3 linked regions of the Arabidopsis thaliana genome follow. The protein of the gene in region 1 purifies or fractionates together with the protein of each later gene. This does not show direct contact. Each region holds a gene or a part of one and is shown in the gene's direction. Other genes may lie near its edges.

Region 1 (5,402 bases):
GTTCCCTACATTCCTTCTTAAAAAATCAGTTTCTATCAGAATTTGATTCAGGACAGTTAACATAATGTCCATATGAATATCCCATTTCAACCAATATAATAAGAATTTGCACAAAACAAAGGAGTGCTTTTAACTCCAACAATGTAGCAGAATCCCTTTACATAGGTGTATCCCCTTTCAAAATACAAGCATTCTGGTCCAATGCAGGAAAAGGACGAGACAAGAAAAATTTCATGAAACAAGGAATACTGAGACATTCATCTTCTGATTTTTAAATCTGTAAGCTATTCATTTCATTACTTGTAGTTCTTTTTCAAGTTCAGCAAAGGAAATTTTAGTACCTCAGGTGTCTTTAGAGCGGCAGGATCCTTTGGTGAAGCAGATTCCGTTTCGCTTTCTCTATGAACCGAACTAGACTGGGCATTAACAATAATAGGACTATCCCCAGGTTTGGGTACAGCTTCCAACTTCACACTTTCTGCCTCAGAAATAATTTCTGATGGCATGTCCGGCTTAGCTCCTGAATCTTCAGATGCAGAAATAGGCAAGTTTATCTCTGCTCTATCAATGACAGTTTCTTGAGGTGTCTCCTCTTGGTTAGAAGAAATATATGTAAAACGGTCAGATGATAGATCAGACTCGGGTTGCAGTTCTATGTCACTCTGCACTCCCTCGGAAGCTTCAGAATGAGTAACTTGAGGTTGCGTTTCAACTTTTCCATCTTTTTCAGTAGAATCTTCAACACCGGAAGGTACATTCAAATGATGAGCCTCCTCCAGCTTTTCAGTTAGAGCATCAGAATGAATTCGCTCACTTAATTTCTGCTGTTCTTTCCCCAGATATTGATCCAAATAGCCAGTCTGATACGCTACCAGAAAAGCCCCAGCGATTGCAACACCTCCTATAACCACTTTTGAAGAATTTCCTTTAGTAGGAGGAGGAGGAGTCACTTTTGGAGGATCAACTTTTGAGGCATCTGGTTTCCCAACGGGTTTAGCTCCAGGGAGACCATTTTTACCAGATGTAGATGCATTTCTCGAAGAGCTCAAATGAAACCTCTGATGCATAACATAACACAATCAATCCAAGAGAGTACTCACAAGACGCTAACTAAGAATCACAACTAAATTCATAACTCACCTGAGCTCCCAAATTCCTCGGGAATCTCTTTATTGACAAACGAGAAGACAGCTCGAGAACCGACCTAAGCAAAAGAGCAACAACATAAACCACATTCGGTATGATTCACAAGAGAATCAAAGTCACAAATAGCTCTCAATTTAGAGGAATCAATAAAATCAGACCCGAAAGCTACGCAACGAGATTGATGGAACAAGAGAAGCCAAAATTCAACAAGATGGATTGAGATAATAAACTTAGGGTTCAGGAAACATACTTCCGAAGCATTATCGCGTCGCGTCTCTGGTGATACAAACGCCGAACGAGAGAGCGAAGATGTTACGACGGACGGAGAAGACTCGGAGCCTCCGGTGAGTAAAATAATAGTATTCTCTGAAAACCCCAAAAGCATTGAAACGACGCCGTACAAAATTACTTGAGAAAAAGGGTAATTTAGACATTTCACAATACAATGCGACCCATTATCACTTCAGGTCCTCGAGTTTTTCCCCAATATCAAAACCACTCGACGAACAAGAACCCTAGAATTCGCCTCCTCTTTCCAAAATTCCCAATTTTTGTAATGACGGGATAGAAAAATTCCCAATGTCCGCTTTATCTTTCATTCTCGATTAGAATTCTTCAACCAAAGGTCACTCTCTCTCCGTTCCATTGCTTCTGGATTTCGTTTTTAAGGTTTGCGTTCTTCTTTTTCTTCTTCGTCTTAAGAGAGTAAAATCTGGTGTTGAAGAATCTATTTTGAGTCGGAAATTTGATAAATTTGTAATCTTCCGTACTGGGTTTTGATTGTTGTCTTGTCTCTCTAATTGTTTCATTCTTCTTATGCTACGAATTTAGGGTTTTACATTTTTCCTGCCTTCTTTTACCCATCAGAGGAAGTTTCAAGCCATTTTGTTGTAAGTCATCTTTAAACTTCTAGCTCTTTTGGATTGGGTTTGTTAAAGATTTAAGCTTTGGTTTTAAATTATATAGATTTGCTGCGTTGCTTTGCTAATTTGTCTGATTTAGGTTTTGTCCTCTGCGATGGGTTTCTCTAATTTTATATTCAATATTTTTTCAGAATCAGCTCTCTCATAAGCTAAGATGTCGTCATCGCCTTTTCCAGTCTTGGACAACCGACCAATTGATAAGTGGAAGGTTACGGAATTGAAAGAAGAGCTTAAAAGACGGAGACTAACAACAAGAGGCTTGAAGGAGGAATTGGTTAGGCGTCTTGATGAAGCACTTCGTGCTGAGCAAGAAGAGTCTGAAAGGATCAATAGTGCTACTGTTGCTGCTGCTGAAAAAGCCAATCAAGAGCCTCAGATGTTTCCTGTTACTGTAGGTGATCGTAATCAAACCACTCCTGTTACTCCTGTTGAAGCGGCATTTAGCACTGAGACAACTCCTGTTACAGCTGAGAAAACCCCAGAACCAACTCAGACCAAGATAACAACTGAAGCTTCAGCTGGTGTTGAGACTACACCAGCCCCGGTGTTTTCAGAACCAGAGGTTAACGCTGTGCCATTCGCTAGTGATGAAGATGAGAAAGAGAAAGTTGATGATGTTAGAGACATAGCTGGTCTTGATAGTTCAGTGGTTGCACGTGATGCAGCAGTTGTGCAAGTGGCGTCTAGTGAGCACAAATCTGAGAATAATGAACCATTTAGTGGGTTGGATGGTGGGGATTCTAAGGCTCAACCATCAGAGGCAGTGCTTGAAAAATCTGCTATGTACAACCAGGTATCTGAGGTCATCCCCGTTACAGGGTTTGAGGTAAAATCTGATTGTATTTCTACTGATTCTGTGTCAAATAATGAAAAAATAGAACTAAAGGATAACAAAATTGCTGATAATGTCAAATTAGAACAAAATGTTAATAAGTTCCAAGAGCCATCAACAGTCGTTGGCGAATCGCATCCAATGGATGTCGAGGAGCCACTTGAGCAGAAGACATCTGTTGGAGGTGGGGATGACAGCAATGCTGCAAACGCAGATATGATCAAAGAAAATAATATTATCGATGCAGGCGACTCAGAAAAGTTGAATTTAGATAGAAGTTCTGGTGATGAGTCTATGGAGGATGAGCCGGAGACAAAGCAATCCGAGTCAATTACATCTGATGATAAGAGTGCAAAAATTGAAATGCTTTCTAAGGAGGAAAGCCGTGCTGATATGGATGCGGGGAAAGGGAAATCCCCTGAAAATAAAAGTCACCCACTGGTGGCTTCTGACAAAAGAAAGCTTCCTGCTAATGGTAATTCCTCTCATATTCATTTGTTTTATTAATCAAATCTTTTACTGTGTTTAATCTGTAATGTTGGTGTTTGAGGCATATACTGGTAGTGTTTAATAGTTGTTTCATCTTTGTCGTTTATGGCTACTTCTTATATATATTGGCTTTTGAAGCATCTGTTTTGAAATTCTAGCTATGTATGCTGAAATGTCTTTCTTTGTAACTCAATGTAGATCAAGAAGCTGTTGGAAACAATGAACCTGCAAAGAGGCGCCGATGGAACTCTAATAGTATTAAAGTTCCTGAAGCACAGATCACTAATAGTGCTACACCCACTACAACACCAAGGTCGACTGGTCTGAAGCGCGACTTCTCAAGGTCTGACTCTTCGGTTAGTGAAGATGGACCCAAGGAACGTGTGGGTATGTAATACAGCACCCCCTCTATGTATGTTTCCATCTCTTATTCATTGTCTTAAAGCTTTGTTTGATAGATGTGTTCAATATTTATTGGCAGTTCCTCCATCTCCAAAGGAGCCTACAAATTCCCTCAGGATTGACCGTTTCCTTAGGCCGTTCACACTGAAAGCTGTTCAGGAGCTCCTGGGTAAAACCGGAAATGTCACTAGTTTCTGGATGGACCACATTAAGACCCACTGCTATGTATCGGTAAGACCGCTTCTTCAAATCCTTTTGATTTACAAAAATGTTGATTCTGTTTGTGTACTTTCGAATTCAATTATCTAAATATCCAAAGAATTTTGTGTAACATGAGTGAGTTGTGACGTGACTGCAGTATCCCTCGGTTGAAGAAGCAGCAGCAACAAGAGAAGCAGTGTATAACCTCCAGTGGCCACCTAATGGAGGCCGCCATCTGATAGCTGAATTTGTTAGAGCAGAAGAAGTAAAAGAAAAACTGGAAGCTCCTCTGCCTCCTCAGCCTCAGCATCAGCCACAAGCTCAGACTCTTTCGCGGCCACCTCCAACTGCTCTTCCACCACCACCACCTCTGGCCAAACCACCTCACGTTGTAGAACGTCTTCCTCTGCCTCCCCCTCCTCCTATAGCCCCTGAGGAACAAGAACCTCCCATTGTCACTCTTGATGATCTATTCAAGAAGACAAAAGCGATCCCCAGGATATATTACTTACCCTTGTCAGAGGAGCAAGTTGCAGCTAAACTTGCAGCGAATAATAACAAGTGATCTTGCTGGTTCTTGGGAATTTCAGGTCATTGTTTTCGTAGCAGGCTCTTAGGAATTTAGCTCAGTGCGGACAAAAGTTGAGTACTCTGTTGAGTTTGGTTTGTTATTTTTAATGTAGAACGGATGGGAAGACTCTTCTTATGTTTAGTAGACTTTGGTTTGAACCTGTGATGAACTAACAGAGTTGTTTGGCTCTCTGTGTGTTAGATCTTTTCCTCTCCATTTCTTCTTTTACCTTTTCATGGATCTATGAACAATTGTTGGGTCAAAAATAAAGTAATAGCAGCCCAATATTACCAAATTTCAAATCTTGCAACTTACTTTTAGATCATGTGTCAAACCTAGTAATGGGCGTGTGTCAATGGAATAACCTTTTAACACTTGATAACATAAACACACAAATTGTACACTTTCACAAAACTACAAAGACGACCAAGATACGTTTTAGACACATCACACATACATACATAATTACATGCAAACACAAAGGACAAATACTTGGGAGAGAAGGCTCTGAAGATCCTTTTCAAGAATTTCATTACTTTGAACTTCACTTTTGTGATTTGAACTCTACTTGTTCATAAGACAAACGAGAAGGATAGATTTTATTAGAAATCCTTCCGGACGCAAAAGATGTTTCGACAGGGAGTCTATGAGCTTCATCGTGGTCGAAGTTTCTCTCCTTTTCTAGCTTTTTCATCTTCTCCTTCTGCTTCTTCTGCATGACTTGTAGGTGTGCGTAACTTGCTCCAATGGACGACATTACTTTTTAGTGTTGGTTAACAAAATAAATGTGTTAAGAATAAGATGTGGTTAAGATTTTCGAAGTGAAGGTTGAGTTTGT
Region 2 (5,094 bases), on another chromosome or scaffold:
AAAAATTGCATCACATGATGTTAGTCACTTTATATGATATCTTGAGGATTTAACGTTTTTAAATATTTTTGTAGTCCATGTTACATAGTGTAAAACTGTAAAGTAACAAAATGCGTATTCTTCTTAAATCTCACATAGTTCTGCCATGTATATATAATCCCTCTGCATGGCACTTCAAATGAGAATATTGAATGGAGAGTCGGAGACCATATGAAATCATGGATCACGTTCATGATAGAGATCTATATATCCCAATTCACATATATACTATATATATTCTATAATATATCATCTAGGAATACAGATGAAACTGTTACAGAGAATAACAAAATTTCGTGATAATTAAATCTAATATTCATTTATTATTCTTAATACTTTGAATATATATGGAAAAAACATTTATCTAAAATAATTCTTCTATTTAAATAGGGGACTTCAGATTTTTAAAATTTGAGTATTTTGCTTGAAGAAATGAGTATTTTTTTATAAAACTTTCCTTATGTTTTAAGATGAATTTTTCATCTTGTAACTAGACATATGATGTAATTCCAATTTCTTTTACTTTTATTTTTTATTATATATGTAATTCCAATTTCATTTGGTTTTTGCGGTTAGTTTACGAATGAATTCTACATATTACAAAAATATCATAAAATACATATAATGATCTATATTTTAATGGGGTTTTCCTCCCTTGGTTGCTCGCATGATCTATCTTGCCATCACGTCTTTTTGTCTCCCGATCCCTATAATATAGGTATGTGACAATGTGTGTCTATCTTTTTCTTTCTCTTTTAAGTTTTTAACCAATCCAATTTTTGTCAACAACACAATCCAATGAATTCTAACTAATATACTATGAAAGTGGCATATTAATATAAGTTTATATGAATGAACGAGAAAATGCACTTAGACATAAAAGAGGGAAAGAGAGATACATATGCAATGTCAACGTTGCTCAGCTTCACAAACCCATGTTATGAATCTTTTTCTTAGGTACATCAAGTCGTATGATTCTTTTTAAACAAACCATCAAGTATGATTCATTATATGGTTATATCCCAAATAAGAAAATATATAGATAAATACATTTAAATATTGCATGATGTCATGCACCAAAAAGCAACAATATATAATCAACATGATATAGAACTTCGACCCCAACTCCTCCTTCTTACTTGAACTTGTTTTTGGAATTGATATTATTTTTGGGTAAAATTAATGGTTAATTCATTTGAGTCAGGTTTATTTTCTTTTGAATTCAGGTCGGACTTTGAATTTCTTTTTCTTTTCTTAGTCAATATCATCATGGTTAGATGCGAACCATGACCGGGACAATATCGGCTATGTATTTTCTGTTTTGGTACATGTCACTATGTCACCTTGTTTAATTTTAGTTGTTCTGTTTGTGTAACTACGAGTCTACGAATACATTGTCTAATGAAATGTGTTGTTATGTTATATCACATGTCATATATAGTGTAACTCACAAAAGATGTATCATGTCATTTTCTTTATTTAAATCGTGTTACGTAATGTGAAGAACTTAACAATATATTAGCAATTTTAATACATCTGAAAATCATTCAAAAAATCGAAAAACAGAACAAAATTTTGTTATCGTAAACAACCAAGTTAAATGATAGATGAACACAATAGATCAAGGATAAAAAAAAGTTGAGATTTGAGATGAATTTGTTTTTTTTTTGTTTTTGTCACTGAAATCTTTATTGAAAGCCCATTAACTTACAGATAATAGGCCCAATAAACAAAATTTACACGCCGTCTAAACCCGATTTCCGACGACCTACAGAAAAACTTCGGTCGGTCAGTGACCCTTTAAAGGAAAGCTATTAGCGATTGATTCGAGAGATGTGCAAAGCTTGTTGATTTGAGGCTCTCTCTCTACTAGGGTTTGTTGATTTGAGTTTTCTATTCCTCCTATACGTGTTCTTCGATTCTCCTGGGATTTTTTTTTGAAAAAGGGAATAGAAGAAGAAGTTGCTGAATTCTCGATATGGAATCCATCATGGAAGAAGCTGATAGTTACATTGAGTATGTATCAGTGGCGGAGCGGAGAGCGATTGCAGCGCAGAAGATACTTCAGCGGAAGGGAAAAGCTTCGGAATTGGAAGAAGAAGCTGACAAGGAAAAGCTCGCTGAAGCTAAACCTAGTTTACTTGTTCAAGCAACTCAGCTCAAGCGAGATGTACCCGAAGTTAGTGCTACTGAGCAAATCATCTTACAAGAGAAAGAGATGATGGAGCATTTATCTGATAAGAAGACGCTTATGTCTGTTCGTGAACTTGCCAAAGGTATCACTTATACAGAGCCTCTCTTAACTGGGTGGAAACCTCCTTTGCATATTAGGAAGATGTCTAGTAAGCAGAGAGATTTGATTAGGAAGCAATGGCATATTATTGTTAATGGTGATGATATTCCTCCTCCTATTAAGAACTTTAAGGATATGAAGTTTCCTAGACCTGTTCTCGATACTCTCAAGGAGAAAGGTATTGTGCAGCCTACTCCTATTCAAGTTCAGGGTCTTCCTGTGATTTTGGCTGGGAGAGATATGATTGGGATTGCTTTCACTGGTTCCGGAAAGACTTTGGTTTTCGTGCTTCCCATGATCATGATTGCTCTCCAAGAAGAGATGATGATGCCTATTGCTGCTGGTGAAGGTCCCATTGGGCTTATTGTTTGCCCTTCTAGAGAGCTTGCTAGGCAGACTTATGAAGTGGTTGAGCAGTTTGTGGCTCCTTTGGTTGAGGCTGGGTACCCGCCATTGAGGTCGTTGCTATGTATTGGAGGTATTGATATGAGATCCCAGTTGGAGGTTGTCAAGAGAGGTGTCCATATTGTTGTTGCAACCCCTGGGAGGTTAAAGGATATGCTCGCCAAGAAAAAGATGAGCTTAGATGCTTGCAGGTATGATTTCTTTGGTTCTTTTCAATATGATTAATCAACCTGATTGTAATATATGTTTGCGTCTACTGTCTTGGCTGCCTTGTTTGATCTTATATCCTCGTTTTCTGAGTTTTGCACTTGGCTAGATTCTTGGGGATATCTGCTTATTGTGCCTGTTTTGTTGTTTCTGGTTAACGGGATAGATCAATAGGATTGTCTAGTGTCTGTTAGCTACTTAGCGCTTCATTGCTATATATGTTCTTTATTGTGTGATTCTATCGGATTTTTTCTCTCTGAATAAATTTTCCGCACTGGTGTTTCTTTCTGAATGCATCTTTCTTGTCTTTGGAGTCTTGAGACTGTGTCATTTAATTTCAAAATCTTGAGAATGTTAGATGGCAATGATGTTTACCTTCCTTTTTTTCCTTTTTTTAGGTACCTGACACTAGATGAGGCAGATAGGTTGGTTGATTTGGGTTTCGAAGATGACATAAGGGAAGTCTTTGACCACTTTAAGTCTCAACGTCAAACACTATTGTTCTCTGCCACAATGCCCACAAAGATTCAAATCTTTGCCAGAAGTGCTCTGGTGAAACCTGTGACAGTTAATGTAGGAAGAGCTGGAGCTGCGAATCTGGATGTGATCCAGGAGGTAGAATACGTCAAACAAGAAGCAAAGATTGTTTACCTCCTCGAGTGTCTACAGAAAACCTCTCCGCCGGTTTTGATATTCTGTGAGAACAAAGCTGATGTTGATGATATTCACGAGTACTTGTTACTGAAAGGAGTGGAAGCAGTGGCCATCCATGGAGGAAAAGATCAAGAAGACAGAGAGTACGCAATCTCTTCGTTTAAAGCTGGGAAAAAAGATGTGTTGGTTGCGACTGATGTTGCTTCAAAGGGTCTAGATTTCCCTGATATACAACACGTAATCAACTACGACATGCCAGCAGAGATTGAGAACTATGTGCATAGGATAGGACGAACAGGTCGGTGTGGTAAAACTGGGATAGCAACGACGTTTATAAACAAGAATCAAAGCGAAACCACTCTGCTGGATTTGAAACACTTGTTGCAAGAAGCTAAACAGAGGATTCCACCTGTCCTTGCTGAGCTGAATGATCCAATGGAAGAAGCAGAGACCATTGCTAATGCAAGTGGTGTCAAGGGTTGTGCCTATTGTGGTGGTCTTGGACATCGTATCCGAGACTGTCCAAAACTTGAGCACCAGAAGAGTGTCGCCATTTCTAACTCAAGAAAAGATTATTTTGGCTCGGGTGGCTACAGAGGAGAAATATAATCTTGTTTTGTTCCCTTTGCTAGTTATCTCATCTTAGCTGTTACCGAACTGTGATGTTTGTGATGTTTATCTTCCATATGTCACGCTTTTTACACTGAGTCGAGTTCTATCATGTCAAAATATTTCTTAGTTAATATATATGGTCGGATTCTTGAACTAAATTTTGTACACAATGTGCATGCGGTAAGGTGCAAGGTCTTTCGAATTGTATCCCTAAGGTTGCTTTTGAGTTTAGTTGTTCATTTTGGTGTCTCTTCTTTCTGTTGTTATTGTTACAAGTGCCCCTTTACACCGTTGGGTTGTATTGAAGATACATTTTCATATCAGCGCTGAAAGGTAACGTTTTTTTTTTATGGGGAAAAAGGTATAGACTATTAATTACATCATAATGATGTTTACAATGAGAAAGAGTAATATCATCTCCAATCTCCAATGGTTACATCTCGAATTTTTGGATACTATAATATGTTTGCCATGTTCTTTTTTTGGCAACATTGTCATGTTCACTATAAGACTTTTCTAGTTTCCAGTCTCATTTGGCTTTTTCACTTGGGTCACTAACTATGCACAAAAGCTTCATATAAAACCACATTCACATGCATGTTGTTATATCTCTGGACCAGATGCGAACAGAGGTATAAGGCCACGCAATACTTGGGCTGATAATTGGTGAGCCTCAAAGATCTCTCCGTCCAAATTCCACACACTCTCTTCCCCAAATGATGTAAACGTGAAAGCTCGCGTCTGCATTACCAAATATATTTTGATCAGGACCCAACCAAGTTAAGAAGATTAGAAAAGGAAAATGTTTTACAAACCTTGTGATATTCCACAAACTCGAAGTTCAAAGGTTCTCCACCTCTTTTTGCAAGCTCGGTTAGGTGCCT
Region 3 (6,165 bases), on another chromosome or scaffold:
TCTGTTTTGGTTATTGTGATAGAGAAGCTCTTGAGATTCTGAAAAATTGGCGAAACTATAAAATATAGGGAAAGTGATATCGGAGTCTTATGAGCTCGAGTATGGGCATGACCGTTTAGAGATGCATGTTGGCGCTGTTGAGCCACGCGAACGCGTCATTATCATTGATGATCTTGTTGCTACTGGCGGCACTCTTTCTGCCGCAATGAGCCTATTGGGTTTCTTTCTTTCTTCTTGTTTTCTTTTTCAGTTTTTAAAGAGAATTTTTTGGTCTTGAATTGTAATGTGATACAGTTTGACGTTTTACAGAGAGCCAAGGAGCTGAAGTTGTTGAGTGTGCTTGTGTTATTGGCTTGCCTGAAGTCAAGGTGAGTCACATTTATCTTACTTGTCTAAGAAGTTATCTCTGGTTTTGTTCTTTTGAAATGATTTCTAAAATGTAGTGATAGAGTTAGTTTTTTTGTTATAATCTCAACTCAAATTTGCTCATTGAGTTTGTGAAAATTTTGAATTGTTTTTAGGGGCAACACAAGCTCAAAGGGAAGCCGCTTTATGTGTTGGTGGAGCCTAGTGGATTAGATGAGTTCTGTTAGGATACATACCGGTTACTTCCGGTTCAGTTTTCTTTCCCTGCAGAGTTCATGTTCTTTTTTTCAAAATTTCTAGGGTTCCAACTTCTTGTATTCGTTCTCGTTTATTGATCTCTGTAGATTTTGAATTTTGATGTGTACTTTCCACGGCAGTGGTTGGTAAAAAACCGAGATACTGAAAAGAGTCTTTACATTTCCCGGTTTGGTGGAATTTCTGATGGATCACTAACTCATGTTAATCAGTTTATAATAACTGTAATCATTAAAAGGGTAAAGATACGTTCGTAATTTATGCGGGAAATCTAAAAAGTACAACTAGTAGGTTTACTAAATTTAATGCTGATATTACTGAGCACTGATAAAGTTGGTTGTATTCTACGACAAAACTATTCATTACTGCAATATTGGTCCATATTTTTGCTTCAGCACTGCTGCAAGTTTTTCTTTGTTTCTCCCTAAACTTAACAACTTACTTCACTGATTTCAAATTATAAATTGAAAATCGTTAATAAAGTTTTCATGATACAAATTATTACATAAGCAAACTACTGTATGTGTTATTTATTGAAGACTATAAAACAATAAAAGTGAAAGTACACAATGGCTTTCCTTACAAAGCTTTATTTGCTAATAAACAGAAGAGTCTGATGGATAACTTGAGAACTCAGCAGAGCTGGTTAGATCGCGAAATCGGATTAGGGTTTCGAAATCTCTGAATTGCAAGAGTAAAAATATCTGAGCTTCGTCCAAACGATTCCAAAGAGAGTGAAAGATATGGTTGAACTCAGTCTAAATTGGGTTTTGTTTTAATTAATGGGCCTACAATTTTGTTGGGTCCTTGAAACAAAAACATTGTTATTAAGGGAAATGAAATATCTTAACTAAACCAATTTGTTATCTATTGTGCTCTACTGTTCTGTTCGTATTGACTCGAACCCACTAAACCAAGACGAGCCCTGACCGTCATTGTCTAAATTGACTCGAACCCACTAAAGAAAAAAAGAAAAAAAAACTTAGATAATAATTGGCGCAGAAGGGCCGATTAATAAAAACTTTAGGCCCATTAAAGTAAAGCTTATTGTCAACCCTATCCAGTCTCCTTGTATATATTTATTTACGACACCAACGCGGCGTTGGTGATTCATTCTCTTCAGTCAGAGATTTCGAAACCCTAGTCGATTTCGAGATCCAACCAACTCTGCTCCTTATCTCAGGTAAAATTCTCGCTCGAGAACTCAATTGCTTATCCAAAGTTCCAATGGAAGATGCTTTCCTACTGAATCTTAGGTTAATGTTTTGGATTTGGAATCTTACCCGAAATTTCTCTGCAGCTTGTTGAATTTGCGAAGTATGGGAGACGCTAGAGACAACGAAGCCTACGAGGAGGAGCTCTTGGACTATGAAGAAGAAGACGAGAAGGTCCCAGATTCTGGAAACAAAGTTAACGGTGAAGCCGTGAAAAAGTGAGTTTTATGATTTCCTCGATCTGTTTCATGAGATAGTGGATGTTTAAATTTAGGGTTTTCTTAGATTACTGCTTGATAACAACCGACTAAGTTCTTCAATTATCTATGTGTTTGGTTAGTTGCTTAACTTTATGACAATTGACTAAGTTCTTCAATGCTAAAATTCCTGGAACCTACCCAATATTAGACGGTCATGTGTTTATCATCTTGTATTTTCTCTTTGTGACAGAGGGTACGTGGGAATACACAGTTCTGGATTCAGAGACTTCCTTTTAAAACCGGAGCTTCTCAGAGCTATTGTTGACTCTGGATTTGAACATCCATCTGAAGGTTATTACAATGAAATACACCCTACCTTTGACTTTTCTGCCTTGCCTTTCACCATTCTATTACCGAATGATATTGTATAATTTACAGAAGTGACTTCTCCATAAGATGTTTTAGTTGTCCGGAAACTTTTAATTATATGTACTTCGTCTAGTTTTGAGAAGATATGTTGGTTAAAGATATTTTATACTTTATCTTGGTCCTTTGCTTATCATCTAACTAAATTAAAAAAAGTTTGTGTTGAGGTCAAATTCTTTTTTATTTCCTGTTATAATGGTTTTTGTTTTCTTTGTTTATTAACGTTTCACTGATTACTTTTTCCAGGTAATAAACGATATTTCAATCTATTGGTTTGGAGTGAGCTTAAACATGTGCTAAAGCCACCAATTTAAAAGATATGGAGGTTATCATCTACTTATAAAGGCTTTCTTCGGTACAATTTTCTTTGGTTCTCCACCAGTGCAACATGAATGTATCCCTCAAGCTATCTTGGGCATGGATGTCATCTGCCAAGCAAAGTCTGGTATGGGGAAGACTGCTGTGTTTGTCCTGTCTACTCTACAACAGATTGAACCATCTCCTGGCCAGGTTTCTGCACTTGTCTTGTGCCATACAAGAGAGCTAGCTTACCAGGTATGACCTTCTTGTTTCACTCAGGTTCTTGGCTTATAGTTTTGTTGTACGTCTTCTTCCTCTAATGCTTTTTGCCTTGATGCTGACAATTACTTGCAGATCTGCAATGAGTTTGTGCGATTCAGTACCTATCTGCCTGATACAAAGGTTTCGGTGTTCTATGGTGGAGTCAACATTAAAATTCACAAAGACTTGCTGAAGAATGAATGTCCTCACATTGTTGTTGGTACCCCTGGTCGGGTGCTTGCACTTGCCAGGGAGAAAGATCTCTCTTTGAAGAATGTGAGGCATTTTATTCTTGATGAATGTGATAAAATGCTCGAGTCACTTGGTATGCTGATTTCTGACATCATTATTACATCGATCCCTGAATAATTTTATGTTTTAACACTTTAACTTTTTTTTTACCAGACATGCGAAGGGATGTGCAGGAGATTTTCAAGATGACTCCTCATGACAAACAAGTAATGATGTTCTCAGCAACGCTCAGCAAAGAGATACGCCCAGTCTGCAAAAAATTTATGCAAGATGTAATGTTCCATGGCCAATTCTCTCTCCCTTTGCAAGTCTTCTAGTTTTCAACTATTTTTAGCCTTCTATGAGTGATCATAGCATTAGTTGAGCGTCTTCTGCGGTTCTGCCCTGGAAAAGCGGCAACTGATCTCTCAATGGGTCTCAATCCAATAATGGTTGGGTAGTTTGTAGGGAACGAGAACTGTGAGTGTGAGACTCTGTAGCTTTGGTATGGTTTCTATGGGTGATTATAGCATTATTTGGGCATCTTCTGCGGTTCTGCCCTGGAAAAGCTGCAACTGATCTCTCGATGGGTCTCAATCCACTAATGCTTTGGGTAGTTTGTAGGGATCGAGAACTGTGAGTGTGAGCCTCTGTAGCATTGGTATGAATGAGTGACCATTGCACAACAGGATCTTCTTTCGTCATTACCTTTTATTCAGTTTCAATTTCTTTGCAATTCTAGCAGTGCTGGGTGGGTTTTGGGTGGGGTACTGTGTTGTCCCAAGGTTTCATTGTGATTGTATGGGCCTTAATGTTCCGAGCAATATCGCTGTATCATAGCAAAACTCACATCTATGAAGAGAACCTGGTGGACGAGGATCTCAGATCAGGGGTTTTACATCCATCTTCACTTTTGTAGTGTAAATCATTTCCTGAGAAAAGCTTGCTAATTATTACCTGATATCTATTCCTTTCAGCCAATGGAAATATATGTCGATGATGAAGCCAAGTTGACTCTTCATGGGCTTGTCCAGGTACTCTTATCTGGTGTTAGGTCTTCTTATTCAATGGAAATATAGTTTGTTGTTTGATACTTAAAAGACCTTTTACTGTCATACTGTAACAGCACTATATCAAACTGAGCGAGATGGAGAAAAACCGGAAGTTGAATGACCTTCTTGATGCGTTGGACTTCAATCAAGTTGTCATTTTTGTGAAGAGCGTGAGCAGGGCTGCTGAGCTGAACAAGTTACTGGTGGAATGCAATTTCCCCTCAATATGCATCCACTCTGGAATGTCTCAAGAAGAGAGGTCTGTACATTCTCTTCAAAATTCAATGTTTTTGAAGGACCCTACCTGCTCTTAAAGCCCTCATGGAGAGGAGTCCAATTCTTAAGGCTAATACGATATGTTATGTAGGTTGACTCGATACAAAAGTTTCAAGGAAGGGCACAAAAGGATCCTTGTGGCGACTGACTTGGTAGGAAGAGGGATTGACATTGAGCGTGTCAACATTGTCATCAACTATGACATGCCAGATTCTGCTGATACCTATCTTCACAGGGTAAGTATATAATACTGAAATTTATTATTTGATTGTTGATCTCACTGAAAGGGCTCTTGTAACTTTACCGTTTTGCTGTGTATGGTATAGGTTGGCAGAGCTGGTAGATTTGGAACCAAGGGTCTTGCAATCACATTTGTTGCATCTGCTTCAGATTCAGAGGTTCTTAACCAGGTATGGTGTTCAATCTTTGTAATAAGTCCACGGAAAACTCCTCTTGAAATTGAGTTGGATATTTAGTAAAGTGGCAATTATAAATCTTGGACAGGTACAAGAGAGGTTTGAGGTTGATATAAAGGAACTTCCGGAGCAGATTGATACTTCAACCTACAGTAAGTGTGAAATCCCTTACCAATTGTTTGTTTAAAAGCTTGGTTTTGTCTGGTTGTGATATTAATGTTGTTTCTTCTTCTTTCTTTGTTCAGTGCCTTCTTAAACAAGTAGCACGTCCCTCAGGAAAGAAGCTCTTCAGATTTCAACCTTGTAGGTGTTCGAAGGGTGATGGGGGTTCACAACTATCTCTCGCTCCGTTTGTTTTAGTGTTTTCTATGACGACATTTTTTTCCATATGTTTAGAACGTCTGTTGTACTCTTTAAAGGAGATTCGAGTCACTCTCCAAATCGCACAGTTAAAAGCTGTCCAGTTTTTTGTACAAGAGATTATTATGTTTGAAATATCAGGATTTAGTCTCGACCTGATTACTGTGTTCCTTAGGAATCGATCTATTATCAATTTATCATGGTGTTGCTAAGAATCGTCATTCATCAGCGTTACTTCCTTCATGTGATGCTTTTTTTTTATAACACATTTCATTTAGTGTGGAAGAGATACAACACGTATATATGGTTACTTTATATATTGAAAAGTTTATATCCAAGGAACAATGGTTAGGGGAAAAAGGCAACTTGAAGGAGTCAATGTGTCCTTGCCTATTTGTCTTTTGACTTTTTAAGAGGCAAGTCTGTTGCCTTTGCATGAGAAAAAACTCAAAAAACAACACGCAAAAGAACATAATAATTAGGTTCATTCAGAAAGACTACGATCAGAGCCTATGCAGACTTAATCCTCGAGAATAGTGCAGCTCTTCGGGTGGGTATTGTTTTTGAGGTGATCAGATTTCTACGGTGAACCAAAGTTGGGTCGACTTCCACAATAATATCTACTTCATTTCGATCTCCAACATTAACTTCATCATTCAGAAGCTGATCTTGATCATCGGCTTCATTTAATGCTGGACCAGGTGGCTCAAGGACTTGATCATCAATTGGCGGACTAGTCGGAGCTCTCATGTTATCATCTGTTGGCTGATTAGGTGGAGCTCTCATGTTACCATCTGTTGGCGAATTA

What was found. Proteins that work in one complex are often made in the same cells at the same time.
Region 2: the proteins of AT4G39680 (region 1) and AT5G51280 purify together in Arabidopsis thaliana (affinity purification with mass spectrometry, with the first as the bait; one large-scale study listed by BioGRID). This does not show direct contact.
Region 3: the proteins of AT4G39680 (region 1) and UAP56a purify together in Arabidopsis thaliana (affinity purification with mass spectrometry, with the first as the bait; one large-scale study listed by BioGRID). This does not show direct contact.

The regions. Positions count from the first base shown.
Region 1 is NC_003075.7:18,413,760-18,419,161, reverse strand, and holds AT4G39680 (SAP domain-containing protein), read left to right. Parts: upstream 1-1,553; 5' UTR 1,554-1,815; intron 1,816-1,977; 5' UTR 1,978-2,036; intron 2,037-2,200; 5' UTR 2,201-2,223; coding exon 2,224-3,376; intron 3,377-3,588; coding exon 3,589-3,777; intron 3,778-3,871; coding exon 3,872-4,023; intron 4,024-4,150; coding exon 4,151-4,558; 3' UTR 4,559-4,856; downstream 4,857-5,402. Other genes in the region: AT4G39690 (MICOS complex subunit), read right to left, coding at 342-1,058, 1,141-1,204, 1,397-1,407; AT4G39675 (uncharacterized protein), read right to left, coding at 5,109-5,321.
Region 2 is NC_003076.8:20,839,439-20,844,532, forward strand, and holds AT5G51280 (DEAD-box protein abstrakt), read left to right. Parts: upstream 1-1,800; 5' UTR 1,801-2,017; coding exon 2,018-2,928; intron 2,929-3,342; coding exon 3,343-4,207; 3' UTR 4,208-4,554; downstream 4,555-5,094. Other genes in the region: ACD5 (Diacylglycerol kinase family protein), read right to left, coding at 4,814-4,951, 5,026-5,092.
Region 3 is NC_003076.8:3,551,394-3,557,558, forward strand, and holds UAP56a (DEAD/DEAH box RNA helicase family protein), read left to right. Parts: upstream 1-1,702; 5' UTR 1,703-1,804; intron 1,805-1,921; 5' UTR 1,922-1,940; coding exon 1,941-2,053; intron 2,054-2,285; coding exon 2,286-2,386; intron 2,387-2,707; exon of another isoform or gene 2,708-2,843; coding exon 2,844-3,016; intron 3,017-3,115; coding exon 3,116-3,347; intron 3,348-3,427; coding exon 3,428-3,546; intron 3,547-4,230; coding exon 4,231-4,287; intron 4,288-4,379; coding exon 4,380-4,564; intron 4,565-4,672; coding exon 4,673-4,817; intron 4,818-4,907; coding exon 4,908-4,991; intron 4,992-5,085; coding exon 5,086-5,149; intron 5,150-5,242; coding exon 5,243-5,253; 3' UTR 5,254-5,625; downstream 5,626-6,165. Other genes in the region: APT5 (adenine phosphoribosyltransferase 5), read left to right, coding at 69-218, 310-368, 522-593; GLR2.6 (glutamate receptor 2.6), read right to left, coding at 5,868-6,165. UniProt on the Arabidopsis thaliana protein: ATP-dependent RNA helicase involved in pre-mRNA splicing. Required for the export of mRNA out of the nucleus. In addition to ssRNA and dsRNA, binds dsDNA, but not ssDNA.